Linked DNA regions of Oryzias latipes. Each later gene encodes a partner of the first gene's protein in a complex. Links are inferred from orthologs where the notes say so. Each region holds a gene or a part of one and is shown in the gene's direction. Other genes may lie near its edges.

Region 1 (8,970 bases):
ATTTTTTTAAACATATTTTTATCTTATTGCATTAGTGGAGAGTATCAAACACCCCTGCTAGACTTCATTTACTTTAAAATGCTGCTGTTCATGGCAGTAAGCACCCAATAGATTCAAAAGTAACACTCAGCAGAATCTATTCAAACACATAACTGCAATAAAACATGTTTACCAGTCTCCGTTGCATTAAACCTAATTTCTAGTTTTAGTTTAGAATAACATACAAATATAAATTGTAATCCACACACCAAAAGTTTTTTTCTGTGTTCAGTGTTTTATATTGATTTCTTAAAAGACCATCAGTTTAGCTGCAAATATGTTGATTAACATTTTATAACATGATTTGAAAAAAATTAATTAAAGTTTACATTTAGATGTTTTCTTTTAGTGCCAATCTAGTTTAGTTAAAGATATATGGTTTACCATTTTTGCACCAATTTTCTATGATTATTTTTGCTTGAAATTCTTTCTTTTGGATTTTAATGTCATGATGGGTCTACTAAAGACATTTTATTAGACAAGTCATTCTTTTGGTTAAACATGCCCAACATACTGACTAATATTTCGTCATCCCATAAAATCACGTTGAATTCTTATAGAGCGTTCAGTCTCAGTTTTCACAAGGTATATTGTATGAAAACGGGGCATCAAATGCTGCTGCACTATGTTTTACATACGATACGTTGCACGGCCAAATAATTTCATATTTGCATGCCTTGTGTGCAGTGAGCTTATTGCTTCCATCCAACACAGCTGTTCTTTGAAAGCCCCTCCATTTATTAGTTTGGAAATTTAAACCTTTTTTTTGAAAAGAGCACTGCAAAATAAATCTGAAATATTCTGTTTAGAGTTAACATGCTCTTTACAAATAACATGGCTGTGATATTATCTGCGGGAAAAATGTAATAGAACAGGCAGATGGCATCTCGTCAAACGGATTTGGTTTGTAAACCTAGAAAATATGGAAAAATCTCAATCTGTATTAAATGTATGAACACCTGTAGATATTTGTGTGCTGTTTTGAGTCTGGAAGTTAATGAATTCTCTTAGCTCGTGATTGTACTGGTCTATAATAAATGCACTAGAAAAATTAGATCATGTCTGTGGCATACCCATGAAAAATAGTTTACTGTCATTAAAAAATGGTAAGATTTTTGGCTACTGCATTCAAACTGCAATGATTGTTTCCTATGCTTTATCAACAGGAAGCAGTGGCTCCAACTGCAGCAAGAATGAAGGTAGAAAATCTGGCGGCAGCGGCGGCAGTGAATCGGAGGTCCGAAGCCACAGAGCTCCCAGTGAGCGCTCGGTGGCTCCCCCTAGTGAGAGGAGCATCCGCAGCTCTCTCAGCCAGCGCAGTGCCAACTCCCATTTGCTGTCATATGGGCCCGGTCTCGTCTATGGCCCCCCTGGTTTACCGCCTCAGCCTGCACATCTGTCTACAGCTGCCCCCGGCGCCCCACAAGGCAGAGAGCTGGCCTCTGTGCCCCCCGAGCTCACCGCCTCGCGCCAGTCTCTGCGTATGGCAGTGGGAAATGCTGGAGAGTTCTTTGTCGATGTGATGTGACTGTAGCCTTCTGTTGGAGAAGAAAGTATTAGATTGGACTTTATCAAATAACAAGGCTGAGAAGGACAGCGTGACATTGTGGGAGTGGGAGATTAACAAGTTGGAAACTATGGCCTTGATTTCACTTTCCTTTATAGCAGTCCATTTTTTGCATGCCAAAAGAAAAACCTTCACCTCATTTGTGCTTCTGTTCTTAGTCATTTAGTTATAAGCGTCATACTTTCTTCAGTGAAGAAACAAAGCCTGGAACCAAAGCGCCTTTCACAGCCTCTGCTCCATGCGGGGAGACGTTTTGTGCAAGGACAACAAACAAGAGAACGGAGGGAGGCTTGGAAACGATCTGCTGGGGAAGAGGATGAAGTGCTTTAGCTTCCAGATGTTTTCTAATGTGTTCTGCTGTTTTCTATTTCTTCCAACCTCTCATCTGCCTTCCTGATCTGACACTACATGTCCTCATAGTGTACATCAGAAATGAGAAAAAGAGCCTTTTTCCTCCCTCTCTTGTTTGTGCACCTAAATTCTGACCTCAACCGAAGAAACTGAGCAGAAGTTTAAAAGAACTCAACCTGAGTCAGATCTTTGAATTGTTTAACACAAATGGAAAAAAAGTAGTGCAGGAGAATTTTTTTTTTTGCAGTAATGATGCATTTGTGTTATAATATTCATCATTTTCTAACCCTTAACCTCAGCGTTTAGCTCTATAGTCATTTTTACACAACACCTCAGCTGCTTTACCAGAAAATCATCAACCTGTTTTGTATAGTAGAAAATGTTTCTTATCAGACTTTTCACACTACTCTTTTACTGAGAAAGAAATGTCTTTTTTATTTATAAAGATAGTTTTATGATATATCTGTGTGTTTGTGTGGTGTTTTTGTGCGCACTAAAGAAACTGGTCAGATAAATTCCGTCATTCTGAGATATTTAAGGTCATGATTGCATTTCAAAGCAGTGAATTTAAGACTTCAGGTGAATAAACAAATGATATAATGAAGGTTGAACAAAAGCAGATTTAAAAACATTACACAGAAAAGTACGAATATATTATGAGTGAAAAACTTTTAACTTTTATAATCAACTATATAAATTTATATATTGCTCATTATTTGAGATCAATTTGTTTATAAATTGCAGGCGATTATTGACCAACAATTGTTTTTGACTTAAAATGGTCGAAATCAAAGTAAAAAAATATCTTTGGGTCTTTTTGGTGCGATTGATTGGGAACATTCCTCAAGGCTTGGCCTATCGCTTTATTTTATAAACTAGTTTGAAAATACACATTTCTAACTACATTGGATGAACAGCTCGTGTAGTTTCTCAACTGCTAGGCAGGCCTGGGCGCGGTTAACACCCAGCCATCGTACTGGCCGCGCCTTTTCTTCCTGTCAGCGGAACAGGCGTGCGTAAGGACGGCGAGTCAGCTGACAGTTATCGGGGGACCGGGGCAGCGGGTGTGTGAGCAGAGATTCTGCTCTGCAGACGTTATATTTAAGACCAGGCGGGAAGGGAAAAACTCCTGGTGTTGGTGAGAGGACCAAGGTAAGTTGACAAATTTGTCGTTGTATCCGGAACGAAACGATTAGCTAGAACCCAGTGACTCGCGAAAAGCAGGTCAGCGCTTTCCCCTCTATGCTAACGTTAGCAGCTATTTGCCTAGCTAACGTCAAGCTAGCAGGAGTTAGCCACACGATAACAGAAATGAAGTAATTTCCATTTTGTGGAAACGCTGAAACTGCCGCGTGTGCATGAGATGTTTAAAACACATTTGTCGAACGAGCGACATTGATTGTTTTAACAAACACGTAACCGTTTTGTGTAGAAAACCTGTCAAGTCGCAGAATTGTAGTACTTGTGACCGGATATTCCGTTTGAAAATTCGCCATGCACGACGGTATTTCACTGGAAGCCATCGCCTGCTAACCCGCTATCGCTAGCTAAATTAGCTTAAATTAGCAGTCTGCTTTTACCGAAGAACAAACACTCGGCTGTGTTGCGTCCACGTAACTGTTTAAACAAAACGTTACTGGTAAACTTGGCCCTTGCTTTTCTACAAACATTTGAAATGTATGACTGTATGAAAATGGCCCCAGTGAGTGAGCAGACATCTTGACTTCGCCAGAAAAAAGAGGCGATTAAATCTCTTCAGGTTTTGTGCGGATGGTTAAGTCACGACTTAGCGGTGTTTAAGCGGAAAACATGCTGCTAATCCTGCAGCTAACGTGTCAAGTCTCCCATAGTGTCGGTTTTTCGATGTTTGGATTTTCTGCTCGAGGAATTTGAAATGTCCTTCATGGTTTCCAGAAGGTTCATTCTTATCATCAAGGAGAGAAAAAAGGAGGGACAGAGAGAAATTCCTGTCTCCAGCAGCCCTTAAGTTACTTTTTGTATTTTTTTAAACCTTAAACTGCTACTTCTGTTTTTTTTTTTTTTTTTTTTTTTTTTTTTTATCTAAATTAAATTGATGAGCATTTGTATTCGGCTAAGTGACACATCAAAGACCCACTCCAATTAAAATTGTGTTTTTAACATGTTCTTGACTTGTGGCACTTTTCTGATTATAGAGGACGTACATTAAGAAAATTGAGCTTAAAATTGTGTTTGAGTATTTCTATATTCAAATTGCTGTGAATCAGGAGCAGACGAAAAAACTCCATTGGAAAATGCTCATAGCAGGGAAGTAGGTGCTGCAATCATTGGGCCACAAGCTCTGTACTCCGCTACATTTTGATGCATCCACTTGCAGACTAATAGATCCATCCATGCATGTCTGCATTTTCCTCGCCTGAACTGATATCTGGCTCAACACTGGACAGCTGGACAGCTCCAAAAGTGCTCGCCGTTTTTATTGCTCCAATAATTGGGTTGGAGGTGTGAATAGCTGTAAGCTAGCGGGAGGGCATTAAAACAGATGGATAGAGGCAACTTGGAAACAAACTACCCATAACAGCTCCTAATCTTCTTCTTCTATCTAATATGTCACTGGAGGAAAAGAACTGCCGTTTCATTAGTATGGAGATCCATTGCCTCATCAAGTCAGCGTGTTGGATATGTGTGTGCATCTTTTTGCTTCCTTCGAGTCCGAATGGAAGAAGTGCAGCTGCAGGAATTAGTCAGCTGGCAAAAGGGAAACGAGGATGAGAGAGAAAAGAGGATGTGAGGGACAAATGTGTCTCTGTGTCACCAGCGGTGACTCCCTCACTTTCACTTCTCCTGGCTAATTTTTAATCCTCCATGTCAGTAGTTTTCAGGTAGATACTCAATATGACTATGGATGGAGGCTTAAAACCAACTTTATATTCAAAAAGGATGCATTTTTCTTGTAAAATTACAACTTTGCTCTCATAATTTTACGACTTTGTTCTTGTAAATGTTGATTTTTTTTTTTTGTTGTACTTAATTTTTATTTACTTGTATGGGGCCTTAATATTTTGTTGTAGATATGTACCCCAAAAAGGTACTAGATTTAAATACATGTTTGTATTTTTCAATCATGCATATGAAGATCCCAGCAAAAATGATCACAACAAAAAATGAGATCTTTAACACAAGGTGAATATGTATAAGAAGTAAAACACATTGTGTGGTATTATTCTTTACTACACCAACAATTTTTTCTTCCTTTTTTGATACACAAATCACATTTCTTCATTTAATTTTTATTTTGTATAAATTTAGTGCTTTGTAAAAAAAACTATATTTATAAACTCTGTTTTAAAGATTTTATTGATTCATTGAAGATTTTCCATAAATAAAATATATTCTGAGAGTTACACCTTTGTGAGGGGGGGGGGGGGGGGGGGAAGCTTGGGGACCACTGCCTTCATGTCGTTCCTTTCTGTTTTTTGCCAGGTGGTGTTTGGTTTCATCATGGCAAGGTGTGTTTGAGAGGCAGCCACAATGATTGGAGGACTGTTTATCTACAACCACAAGGGGGAGGTCCTGATCTCCCGTGTCTACCGAGATGACATAGGGTATGTTTGACACGAACTAACCTTCTGTAAGTCTCCTCAAGTTGTGGAAGACTTCAGTTCAATGGAACTATCTGGATCCTGCGTTGGAGGGCTAGCTGGAGTTGATCTCCTCGATGAGAGGATTATGTCACCACATCCAGCTAAAATCATGTCTGCTTGTGCAAGGAAGCTGAGTTAGACGTAAGCCTGGATTAAATCATCCGCTCATATAACATTGTTTAAGGGATTAGATGCTATTTATTTAACAATCTGAAGGCCTATGCAAATTGAATAAATGATTAGAGTTACAGATGCTCAGGCGCATTATCAAACCACACTCTCTGCTTTAGCTAGAGCTGTTCATCAAGAGTTGACTTTTGTTTTCAGTTCTAGAGGCAGGAAGAATTACAGAGAACCTAAATTGGATGGTTAAAAAATACTTGGATGACCCATAGCTAGTTTCTTATGTACAAAAAGTATTATTTATGGTCTTTTAAGTGTTGTTCTTTCAGATTTAAAACAATCAGCAGATTGTGCATGTCCATTGACTAAACCAGTGGTTGAGTTTTAGATGCAAGGCCTCATTCATGGCTAGGAAACTTGTTTCAATCAAAATGTCATAGTACTGTGAACCAGAACTTGCAGACTTGTTGACTTGGGGGTTTATGTTGTCTTAGCGGACTGTTCAGTCGACATACAGAAGAAGAATGGGCAAAAAGTTGCACAGCAGATTTACCATATGGGTCAATTTAAAGGCAAAATCAGAATTCAAAATTTTTTTTGTGCATTGGTATAGTTCTGAGGGAGGATGGCAAAAGCAAAGTGTGCATGCCTAATGCAGGTGTTCAGTAGGATTTCTTGCATCTGCACATGCGGCTCTTCAAATACATTTTCCAAACATAATAGAACACTTAAGAAAAGCGTACACTTCTTTCCACTTTTCTTCTCTTTGCCACAATTAGTTGTTTTTGCTTCATTTTCAGCCATTGTTGCATTCTTGATCATCCTCAGCAGCTTCTGTCTTCTCATACAGACACAATGCGTTTTGCTGAATAAAGCGGGAAAAGACGGAAACAAAAGAAACCCTGATGTAGCAGTTCTTGACTTTGCATAATCCGCTGGAAAACTAAAACGCTATGAACTTGAGGCATGTTTGCAGTAATGTTGATTGCCATTACCTTAGCCCACACACTGTACTAAAGGGGAATTCAATCTGTTGAGGTGTTGCACTGTAAACCCCAAGGATAAAGTGTAGTAAAATAATGCTAACCTTGTCCCCTAATGATTTACCTAGCCCCCCACTTCCCTAAAAAAACCCTCACCTTACTCATTCTGTCTACACAATGCACGAAAATGTCTCCTGTACATTTTTGTCTTCATCCTTCTCTCCTCTCTATTTTCTGTATCACCATTATCCTCCATCTGTCCATCACGGTCCTTGTAGGAATAGGTAAGAGCTACTGCAGCCTCTACAGCATGAACCCCACCTTTTAAAGGCTACAACTCGAGGATCTCATGAACCCCAAAGTGCATGCACATCTGTCCAACCATCAGGATTCCTGCTGATTCTTCTAAGCATGTCACCTGTCATGTTATCATCTAAAAAAAGAGAGATTTAAGGAATTCATACATAACCAGAACTGCCACTTCTAGCATGTCATTTGAGCATGGAAATTTTCCAGGCAAGTCATCTGAATTGTCATTTATTCATTTAATTTCTGTTTTTTAATTCAAAAGTAATGAGAGAGTTTGGATTAAATCACCCGGTTAAAGCTAGACCTTGGATTTAACTACAGCTGGACATAAATTTGCTGCCAGTTTGTGTTTTTTGTTCATTTGTGGTTAATAAAAACACCTCACACCCCAACCAGGTAAGGCAGCATCCTGAACTAACATGCCTCACACTCACTCCAACACGTCCACTTGTTTCCATGGAGTCTTCATGGACAGTTTTTTCAGCGTGTTAACATCTGTGAACCAACCCGGCCTGTTTCACACCGCAGTGTTTATAGGAACCGTGGTGCAACAACCATTAAGGGATCATACAGATCCTCTACATCATTTGTGATAATTGTATGTTTCTGGTTTTGGTAATGTCTGTTGTGAGTTGATGTGCACTCCAGAATATTCCCAGCAATTAGCAGTGTGGTTTGGTACTTTTGTCAGGACAAGCTCCATCCTGTCCACTGTATCCGTTTAAATTGAGGGCTGTTGAGCATTGTAGAGCGTTTTACCACAAAAGAACTAGATAAAAATCCTACTTGGATAATTATTGGTTTGAAACATTTTTTTTGTTTCCACAAAGTCCAGTTAATGTTTTTGCTGTGCTGTGAGTTTTTATTTGTTGGTTTGATCACAGTTTAGACATTAAAACGAAGTGTCTACCTCCTCATTCTCCCTCTGCATTTTATTCCTATTAAATATGTCCATGCTTTAGAGAATTTTTCTTTTTTTGCAAAAAATATTTTCACGTCAAACGATCCATTCTCATTTGTCACAAAACCTTAATCCGTTGACTCCATTCCTAAACTTTCTTTCTGCTCCTCTTCTTCTGTGGCAGACGTAACGCCGTGGACGCGTTCCGCGTGAACGTGATTCACGCCCGGCAGCAAGTGCGATCCCCAGTGACCAACATCGCCCGCACCAGCTTCTTCCACGTCAAACGCTCCAACATCTGGCTGGCGGCCGTCACCAAGCAGAATGTCAACGCTGCCATGGTGTTCGAGTTCCTCTACAAAATGTGTGACGTCATGACGGCCTACTTTGGCAAGATCAGCGAGGAGAACATCAAGAACAACTTTGTGCTCATCTATGAGCTGCTGGATGGTATGAAGTGACTGTTCAGTTTTAGACGGTTGTTGACACAAATACAAAAATCATGCTTTGACTGATCTCTGAGAGTTGGGACGTTAGCACCAATATTTTGCTTTGAAGTTTCTTTCTCGGAGCTGTTAGCTTTCATCATTTCATGATCTAGGGTTCTCTCTTGCCTATCTTATCTGTTGCTGATAGTTGTGTTTGTTTGTGCAGAGATTCTGGACTTTGGTTATCCCCAGAACTCTGAGACCGGGGCCCTAAAGACTTTCATCACCCAGCAGGGCATTAAGGGACAGGTACAACATCCACACTCTGACTGATCAAAAATAGGCTAAATGTATGCTGTCTATATGTGTAAAATTATACAGAATGCTAAAATAAATTCCTGTTAATCCTGTTATAAAGATGAATATGGGATGTCGGTAGAACGTTTCTTTACCATTCTGTGCTTAAAATAAAGAAAACACCTTTTCTTTTGGTTTATGTATTAAACTCACACCAAACAGTTGACATATGCTAAAAAATATATTTTCTTTTCCATGTCATTTCCTCTGTCTCCTGTGGTATTTGGACCCTTCAGCACCAGGTAATATAATGCTACACTCCTCAGATAGTGAAACAGGGTTATATTTT
Region 2 (9,095 bases), on another chromosome or scaffold:
ACTCATGGTGTTCTTTGGATGCATCTAAGCCAGGGGTCACCAACCCTGTGCCCGCGGGCAAATATTCAACAAACAACCACGGCATGTCTGTCAATGACAACAATATCAATTCTGAGATAAAGGTAGACAAAGAAAACCCAAATATGTAAACAAATATAACTTAAAAAATAATCACTAAAAGTAAGGGTCTATTACAAAAGTTTAAATAGATCAAATAAATTACACAATTTCTGGACATTCTTATGATTCATGTAATGTAAAGATTTTGAGAATAGGTTGAGGTGGTTGAGTAATCCATTAATGTGAGGATTAATATTCCTGTCTGTTTTTATTTACATTTATGTTTAAAAAGTTAAAATTAAGTTAAAGTTCTAAAGGTTTAAAAGTTTAGCTTTAGTGTGTTCAATAAATATTTATCTTGTTCGGCTGCAACCTAAAGTCTGTTTTGAAATTAGGCTCCCTCTGCAACTGAGTTTGACCCCCCCCTGTAATACGAGTCTAGAAAATTCATGCATGTTTTTGTGTGTAAAATGAGCAAATAAAAATAGGGCACACAAAAGGAAGTCCTCAAATTGTGTTGTTTTTTTGTTGTTTTTTTGGGGGGGGGGTAGGAGGTTTTTAGTGGCGCCCTTCATACCACTTGGTGCCCATGAAATAGCCCTCGGTCTCAAAAAGGTTGGTGAACCCTGATCTAAGCATTTCTTCTCCTGCATACACAAGTTGAGTTTTGACCAAAAACTTATAACCACATAGCGCTTTCCCAATCCTTTTCTGGATCATCCAAATGGTCTCTAGCAAACGTCAGACGGGCCTGGACATGCACTGGCTTTAGCAGGACACATCTGACACTACGGTATTTGAGGCCCTGGGGGCGTAGTGTGTTACTGATGGTAGCCTTTGTTACTTTGGTCCCAGCTCTCTGGAGGTCATTCATTAGGTCCCCCTATGTGCTTCTGGGATTGTTGTTCACCGTTGTTGTGACCATTTTGACCCACGGTTTGAGATTTTTCATGAACCACCAGACTGACGGAAATATTTAGTGGTCTTGTATAAATTACATTTTCCAAAAATTGCTCCCACACTTGATCACTTCACTCAGAATATCTGAACATCCCTCGCCCCCGTTTCATTTGCGACCAACAAATCACTAGTGGAGATGATGATGAACATAGTTGTTGTGGGTCCAAAGCCAATACTACTATGCAACATATTTCACACATCAAACCGTTATTCAGATAAATGACAACTACACACCTTTGATCAAACATTTCATAAAAAGACAAACATCAACTGAGCTTTAAAATCTTCTTGAAGTCACAAGGGGTTTGATTGAATGTGTGCTCGGATGTAGTAATAATAGACAACCAGCAGATGTCGCTATTTTTAACTGAAAAGATCCGAGCAGAGTGTCGATCTCAGCCCAGTTGTGTTGAAGTTGGTCAGTGTTTCACGAGGCGTAGACTAGAGTTTGCCATCACGAGGTAAAACAAAGAATAAAATTAACTGCTGCTCACCAGTTGCAGACTCAGTTATTTTTTTTTTTTATTCTGGTGCGGGTCTGTTCCAGGTCTTTGGCCTTGGCCATAGTGAAGCTTGGAGTGCGACTGTCTAAGTGTGTGGACATGTGCCTTTTTATACTGATAACCAGTTCAAACAGGTGTCATTAATACAGGAAATGAGTAGGGGATAGAAGAGCTAACAGGTCTGTGAGGAGCAGAATTCTGGCTTGTCTGAAGGTGACTTATTTTACTGAGACATTTACCAACTATTTCATTAAAAATCCTAAAGTTTGATTTCCTGGATTCTTATCTCCCATTCTTTCATTCTTAGTTTAAGTGTATCGAAGATGAAAATGACAGACCTCTTGTCTTTTTAGGAGGAAAATCCTCTGCTACACCTGCTTTCCCAAAAGAAAAAAAAGGAGTGCAGAAATGAAATCAATTCTGGATAAATGTGCGTTTCTCTCATATTTTTGTATAAAAACCAAAGCTCCATTCTAATTTGGAAACCACTCGTGCATGATCTCAGAGGAAAACCTTTCTGACATGCAGTGAAAACAAACCGTAAAGAAAACAAAATCTTGTTTTGCATGCTTTGCATAATGGTTTGCATGATTGACAGCGTGTTTAAAATAAGTGATGCGGTGTCTGGTTTTCCTCTGGTTAGGTGCGGCGCTCCTGTTGCTATTTTGTGGGTCACTATGGCTCAAAACCAAGTGATCCTGCAGTTCCACTTCGCCACGTTTGGGGACTCCATGCTGCAGAAGATGAACCTCCTGCGACACCAGAGACGTTTCTGCGATGTGACTGTGCGCATCAACCAGCTGGAGGTTCCAGGTCACAAGGTGGTGTTTGCTGCAGGCTCTTCGTTCCTGAGGGACCAGTTCATCCTTCAGCAAGACTCTAAAGAGGTCCAGATCTCTATGATCCAGGAGGCGGAAGTCGGTCGGCAGCTCCTGCTGTCGTGCTACACAGGCCAGCTGGAGTTTCCTGAGCTGGAATTGGTGCACTACCTGACAGTGGCAAGCTTCCTTCAAATGGGCCACATTGTGGAGCAGTGCACCCAAGCTCTGAGCAAGTTCATCAAGCCTGAGGCTTCACACCAGCTCAGGGTGGATGTGGACAGGAAGAGGGAGAAGAAGAGGCAGGAGGGTTTACCCTCGCCGGCACACAGAGAGCAGTCTCAGGTGCAGACTGTCCTGCAGAAGGAGGAGGAGGAGGTGGTGGAGGAGGAGGAGGAGGAAGACGAAGAGGAGGAAGAGATGGTGGTAGGCCAGGTTGAGGAAGACACTAATGATGACAGTGATGATGACGTTATAATCCAACCCAAAAGCCCTGTCCAGAGTTTGACCAGGCATTCCAGGCAGAGTATGGTGGAAAATGACATCACCATAGTGAAGGTGGAGTCTGTGTCAAACGCGGCAGAAACCTCCATCACGGGGAACTTCTCTGCCACGCCTCCCACAGCTCTGCAGTCCCCTGAGCCCCAACACTCCCTCATCAACTCCACGGTGGACAGTCGCTGCAGTGAGATGGCGGCTCCACCCGGCATGCCCAGGTACCCGCTCAGCCCCCCTCCCCAGTCCCCACCCGCAGAGAAACACAGCGGCCACCAGAGGAACTATGACAAGCCGCTGCAGTGGTACCACCAGTGCCCCAAGTGTGCCCGGGTCTTCCGGCAACTGGAGAACTACGCCAACCACCTCAAAATGCACAAGCTCTTCATGTGCCTCCTGTGTGGGAAGACCTTCACGCAGAAAGGCAACCTGCACCGACACATGCGGGTGCACGCCGGCATCAAGCCCTTCCAGTGCAAAATCTGCGGCAAGACCTTCACGCAGAAGTGCTCGCTGCTGGATCACCTGAACCTGCACAGCGGGGACAAACCGCACCGCTGCAACTACTGCGAGATGGTGTTCGCCCACAAGCCGGTGCTGCGCAAGCACCTCAAACAGATCCACGGCAAGAACAGCTTCGACAACGCAACAGAGGCAACCTGCACGAGGGGGGGCTGGAGTTTGATTTCTCCCAAGTATGAAGCTCCCGCCCCCCTTTTTAGTTTGAAATAGGATATCCTTTTTATAAATGTACAGCACTTTCGAAAGAGGGCCAGATCAGTAAAGCCGCTGTCAGCTTTACGATGACTAAATCACAGGTCTCAAACTCCAGGCATGAAGTAGGGGGGCCTATTTGATTTCCAACAAACCAAACACTGAAGCCCCTTATTGGCTAAACACACCTGACCCAGGTAATCAGCAGCAGATGAGGCAGGACTTTTATAAAAAACCAGCAGGATGCCGGCCGTCAAGGCCTAGAGCCTGAGACCCGTGAACTAAATGAAAGGATGGAGATGAGGGGCGGAAGAAGGCTATCCAGCTCTGCCTCACACTGTAGCTCCATTACTGTGGACTGTTTATTTTATTTTTGTCCAATGCCTTCATGTCATACTTGAACATTCAACATTGAAACACAAAAAAAAGTGTTAGAAAGTAGTTGAATCTATAAACCAGCATGTCTTTATGTTAGGAGAACAAATGCAGACAAACATTATTCCATTTAATGTTGTTCGGCTGTCTGTTTTACCTATGTAGATATGACGATATGAGCTTCATGCATAACGAAAAGTGTGGACACAAATGTTGATGTGTGATGCAAACATTGCTTTGTTTTTATAGACTTTATATCAGAGATCCATTTGGACCAAATGAAGTCCTGTGTTCATGGAATGGAAATAAAATGAATTTGTAATCCGTGTGGTGCAAGACAAAGATGTTTGCAGCCTTTGATGTGTGCGCAAAGCAGCTGGACAAGCTGTCTCTTCATTATCTGACTGTGGCATGGAAATGTGCAGTCAGATGTTTGAAGTCAAGTTTGCTGCTGCTGGGACTCTCCCGCTGTCATTAACGGGGAGAAAACACGTCCAGCACTGATGTCAGCAAGTTTCATCAGCTGAGTAAACTGACACCAGGGGAAAGGTAGCAAGTCTGCACCACGGGGGCTTGCTACAACATTAAAAAGAAAACCACACACATTGGAATATTGTGTCTGTGCCAAGCCTGATTTGAATACAATGATTTGACTAACTATGTCCGTTCATCATCATTGCTCAGTCCGTCACAGTACATGGTGCAAAGATGAGCAAAGCTGCAGGCTGCCGGGGCTTTCTGCACCATGTCTTCGACTACGAAACCGCCAAAACTCTTGTTATTCCTCACTTTGGTGTGGGAATCGTCTTCAGGTTCACTCAGCTCCTGGTGGTGCTGTATGTGGTGGGGTAAGTCCTGAACATGAATTCCTGGGTGGAGGGGGGCTGATGTGGTCCTTGATGACGGTTCAGGCATGAAACGACTATACCTGCGGCAGGTATGTGTGTGTGGTGCAGAAGGGATACCAGGAGACGGACTCTGTCATCAGCACCGTCACCACCAAAGTAAAGGGCTTTGCCTACACCAACACATCTGATATGGACCCACGCATGTGGGACGTTGCAGATTATGTAATCCCGCCTCAGGTATTCCAGCATTTAATCCTATTCCTATTAAGGAACACACAGACGTTGTCATGAACTGCTTTGCTTCTTTTTCTGACAGGGTGATAGCTCGTTTTTCATCTTGACCAACTTGGTTGTGACCCCTGAACAAACTCAGTCCCACTGTCCCGAGGTGAGCCACAGGCCCGCCATAACTTGATGTAATAAAGATGGGGGGGGGGGAGGGTTAGGGTGAATGAATGTCAAAGTTTTTCTCTTAACTCATTTGTAAAGGGTTTAATTCCATGAGGTAAGAAGGAAAATGGTTTAGTCCAAAATACACAAGGAAAACCTGCAGGACACTGCTGAGTCTCACCAAGTCTTTTTGTCTAGTTTCTAGTTTAAATATCTTGTTTACACTTGATAAAAGACAAAACTTTGTTAACTACTTAAGTTAATAAATCTTGAAAATCTTTTTGAGGTGTTTTTTCATCTTGAAAACATCTTATTTGAAGCAAAATCTTGGATAAAACCAAATTATTACTATAATATTTTAAGAATAAGTTTGTGATTTATGGAAACAGGAAAGTTTAATTTAACTCGTAAAAATTTTCAGACAAATTTATGTTAAATAGTGTAATTCTAGGAATTTAAGATAAAATAGAATATATTTGGGGGGAGTGTTTGAATATGTCTATTTTAAAGATTGAAAACGTTTTTTAACATTACATTTATTTTAAGAAATCTTTTCAATTATCATATCAATATTCCTAAATGTGAGTGTTTATTGACAATTTCAAGATTCAGTCTCATCTTGAAAGGGAAGGACATCACAATTTAAGAAGTTTTTTTACTTGTAACAAGAGAAAAACATCTTTGTTCTATATGTTTGAACTTGTTTTGAGAAGGGCAATTTTCCCAGTGTATACCCCAAGTATTAAATATTTGTTATTTTTATAACTCCTTCTGTGTTCTCATTCTGTAGTTTCCTTATACATGCTCTTATTTTTTTGGTTCCTTGATTAGTTTTAGAGTTTTGTGAGTTTTTGGAATTAAAAAAGGTCTGCTGATTGAAATAACCAGATTTCAAAAATCAAATGAACCAAATCTAATTACAGAAAACAAGAAATCCCCTCCAATGTTACAACTAACCAAACAAGTCAAGACAGTGTTTACCGACTAACCTTCCTAAACCTTGAAGTTTAAATTGACTTATGACTTATGGTTTGCCCTCTAGTGGAAGTCTTTGGTAACTGCACTGGTTCATAGAAACTCATTTTGCAAGTGAATACATAGATGTATGTTGGCTCCAGGGTACACAGCAAAAACAGGCGAAATTGGTCAAAATATTTTCATATATTCATTTATTAACTATTTAAAGAAAATCTGCAAATGGAGTAAGAAAAAATTTCTTACTATAAATTCTTATTTAAAAGAAAATTCTAGTCTCTAATGTTTAAGATAATTTTTACTATTGAAAAACTTTCTTAATACAATTTTTTTTTTTGCAAGACCAGAAAACAAGACATTTTGTCTTGAAACAAAGGTCTTTTTAATTAATTAAGATTCAGTTTTTGCACTGTGTCAATTTATTGTGATAAGCAAAACTGGTAACCAATGAACTGACTCAGCTTTTTTATTACTTGTTTAGCTTCAATGACTGTTGAGGAGGAAATAAGGCATAGTATTTGGATTTTTTTTATGAGGCGAAAATCACTGAAAATCTGACAAAAAACAATCCAGGCTGTTGTTAAATTAGGCGGTCATTAGATTTGTTTAATTTTTGTAACCTTTTGTGTCTCAGAGCTTTGTTGTGTAACTGAATTAACCTGTGGTGATTACTGCTCCAGCTTCCAAACCCATCAACTGTATGCAAAGACGACTGCGATTGCATTGAAGGTTACAATGATCCCCGCAGAAACGGTAGGGTTCCCTGTCTGAAATGGCTTCAAACACCATCTGTAAATTTTAGGTCCGCATAATGAAACTGGATTTTTTTTTAACCCAGGCATCCGGACGGGACTGTGTGAGAACTTTTCCACCACTGTCAAGACGTGTGAAGTGTTCTCATGGTGTCCACTTGAAGTGGACACAAGGCTGCCGAAGTAAGAACTGCTGTAGTGCTTCAGTTTTTGCAGGAAGGATTGCACAAACGAGACCTAACGTGATGAGTTCTCGTCCCACAGAAAGGCACTGCTGGCTGCGGCAGAGAACTTCACAGTGCTGATAAAAAACAGCATCACATACCCTAAGTTCAACTTTCACGGGTTCGTGTTCTCTTACGACGTCGTTTGCACGCAGACACAGGTGTTTTAGGTCTCCTATCATGTGATTATCCTCTTCCTCCGTCAGAAGAAACATCCTGCCTCATGTTAACTCCTCGTATCTGGCACACTGTGAGTTCAACCGTTTAACCGACCCTGATTGCCCCATATTCCGCCTCAAACGCATCATTTCCGAGGCGGAAGCAGACTTTCAAGAGATGGCAGTGAAGGTAAGTAAGGAATCTCAATGGAAAACCACACAGATTTTGCTAACATGTTCTTGCGTTGTTTGCTTAAAGGGTGGCATCCTGGGAATTCTTATCGACTGGAGCTGCGACCTCGACTGGTGGGCCGGCAAGTGTCTTCCCAAATACAGCTTCCACCGGCTGGACAACCAAAACCAGGGTAACGATGTGGCCCCAGGTTACAACTTCAGGTGAGTCTGTTTTAATGAAAGCATTTTAAGAAGTTGATAACGCTGAAAATGGCATCATCAGGCTTATATATTTGGTTATTTTTCAGATTTGCAAAGTTCTACAAAAGAGCAGACGGGGTGGAGGAAAGAACGTTAATCAAGGCATATGGAATCCGCTTCGAGGTCATTGTGTTCGGCACGGTAAGGCCTAAACAGATCCTAAAATCTTCTGTAGAATGAAACGTTTACTCTGCAATGATTCTGGTTTTGGATCCTTCAGGCAGGGAAGTTTGGAATTGTTCCAGCGATAGTGAATCTGGGTGCAGCTTTATCATTTCTAAGTTTGGTATGTAAAAAAAAAAAAGTATTACATTAAAAGCAAAAGCGGCGACGCTCAGAATTTCACTGTTGCTAATATTTTCATCAGGTGCCCATTGTTGCAGACTGGGTTATGTTAACATGCATGAGAAAGAGGGATCTCTACACCAAACAGAAAGTAACATATCTGGTTGAAAGTCCTGACAGTGAACCTGTAAGTAACCATTGCTCTGAGGCTCAATGCTCTGACGTCTCTTGCATGTTTTGCTCTTGTTCATATTTGTATGCACAAGTCTTTAACGTGTCTTTTGTTCTGCCTGTTTTCTATTTTTATTATGCAGGTTTCAATGGGGACCACCTATGGCACCCAATGATTCACTCAAGCAGCACCGAAAGTTTCTTTGTGCACCAAAATGGGATGTGCTCTAAAAATGCTATTCAGATCATTTACTAAAGCGGTTTCTGTGTGTAAATTTAAAGCAAAAGCTCCTTTGTGCTGCTGTGTCAGTTAACTCCTGAGAAAAGTTGTTGTTTTACTGTCAGTAAATCCCAAAAGTTATTCATCAGCCTAGATAGTGGATGTGCTCTGGGCAGAAAGGTTAACCCTACTGTACATTACCTTCAATGTGGGATTCACTAAAGAAACATTGATAGAAGTCTGTGTTAAAAGCAAACATTCGGTCTTTAAGAAATCAATAAAATAAAGAATTTTTTTTCTCAATTTTAGTGATACAATGACAGTTCCTTTTCCATTTCCATTTTTGATTACGCCTTTGCAAGACGAGACCTTTTGAATCCAAAGTGAGATTTTATTACCTCAACCACTTTCAGTTTCTGTCTGGCTCAGGAAGAAACTGCTACGTTGAATTAATCAGACTATAAATCAAGGAACAAGGATCATTTTACTATTGTTGCTCCAGTGAATACAAAGACATCAACAGGTCAACATTTAAGTTAGTAGTTTGCAAGCATGTTCAGGTCTAAAAACATATTCATTTGGCAGTCACCAATTCTGCATGTTGACCCATTACGTGCTGATTGTAGACTGCTTCATGTCTGTCTGGTTCGGGTCTACAAGCTTTCTCTGGTGTCTTTAGACAGCTCTTTGGTCAGAGTGGAGAGACTGCAGT

Evidence for each region.
Region 2: the proteins of ap2m1 (region 1) and p2rx4 are in contact, whole or in part, in a crystal structure (PDB 2BP5), measured with the Rattus norvegicus proteins. The link is inferred for Oryzias latipes from reciprocal best matches to the Homo sapiens genes AP2M1 and P2RX4. Residues at the interface, in NP_446289.1 of Rattus norvegicus: Phe174, Leu175, Asp176, Lys203, Asn217, Leu316, Ala317, Gln318, Lys319, Glu391, Val392, Pro393, Lys400, Val401, Arg402, Tyr403, Leu404, Ile419, Lys420, Trp421, Val422, Arg423, Tyr424, Ile425; in NP_113782.2 of Rattus norvegicus: Val375, Glu376, Asp377, Tyr378, Glu379, Gln380, Gly381, Leu382, Ser383, Gly384.

The regions. Positions count from the first base shown.
Region 1 is NC_019875.2:21,532,445-21,541,414, forward strand, and holds the start of ap2m1 (AP-2 complex subunit mu), read left to right. Parts: upstream 1-2,894; 5' UTR 2,895-3,109; intron 3,110-5,419; 5' UTR 5,420-5,467; coding exon 5,468-5,541; intron 5,542-8,080; coding exon 8,081-8,346; intron 8,347-8,550; coding exon 8,551-8,633; intron 8,634-8,917; coding exon 8,918-8,923; intron 8,924-8,970. Other genes in the region: dvl3 (segment polarity protein dishevelled homolog DVL-3), read left to right, coding at 1,206-1,567.
Region 2 is NC_019867.2:25,317,912-25,327,006, forward strand, and holds the start of p2rx4 (P2X purinoceptor 4), read left to right. Parts: upstream 1-4,602; 5' UTR 4,603-4,633; coding exon 4,634-4,773; intron 4,774-4,862; coding exon 4,863-5,010; intron 5,011-5,089; coding exon 5,090-5,161; intron 5,162-6,818; coding exon 6,819-6,891; intron 6,892-6,976; coding exon 6,977-7,073; intron 7,074-7,154; coding exon 7,155-7,235; intron 7,236-7,320; coding exon 7,321-7,668; intron 7,669-7,754; coding exon 7,755-7,848; intron 7,849-7,927; coding exon 7,928-7,993; intron 7,994-8,074; coding exon 8,075-8,179; intron 8,180-8,306; coding exon 8,307-8,339; 3' UTR 8,340-9,095. UniProt on the Homo sapiens protein: ATP-gated nonselective transmembrane cation channel permeable to potassium, sodium and calcium. CTP, but not GTP or UTP, functions as a weak affinity agonist for P2RX4.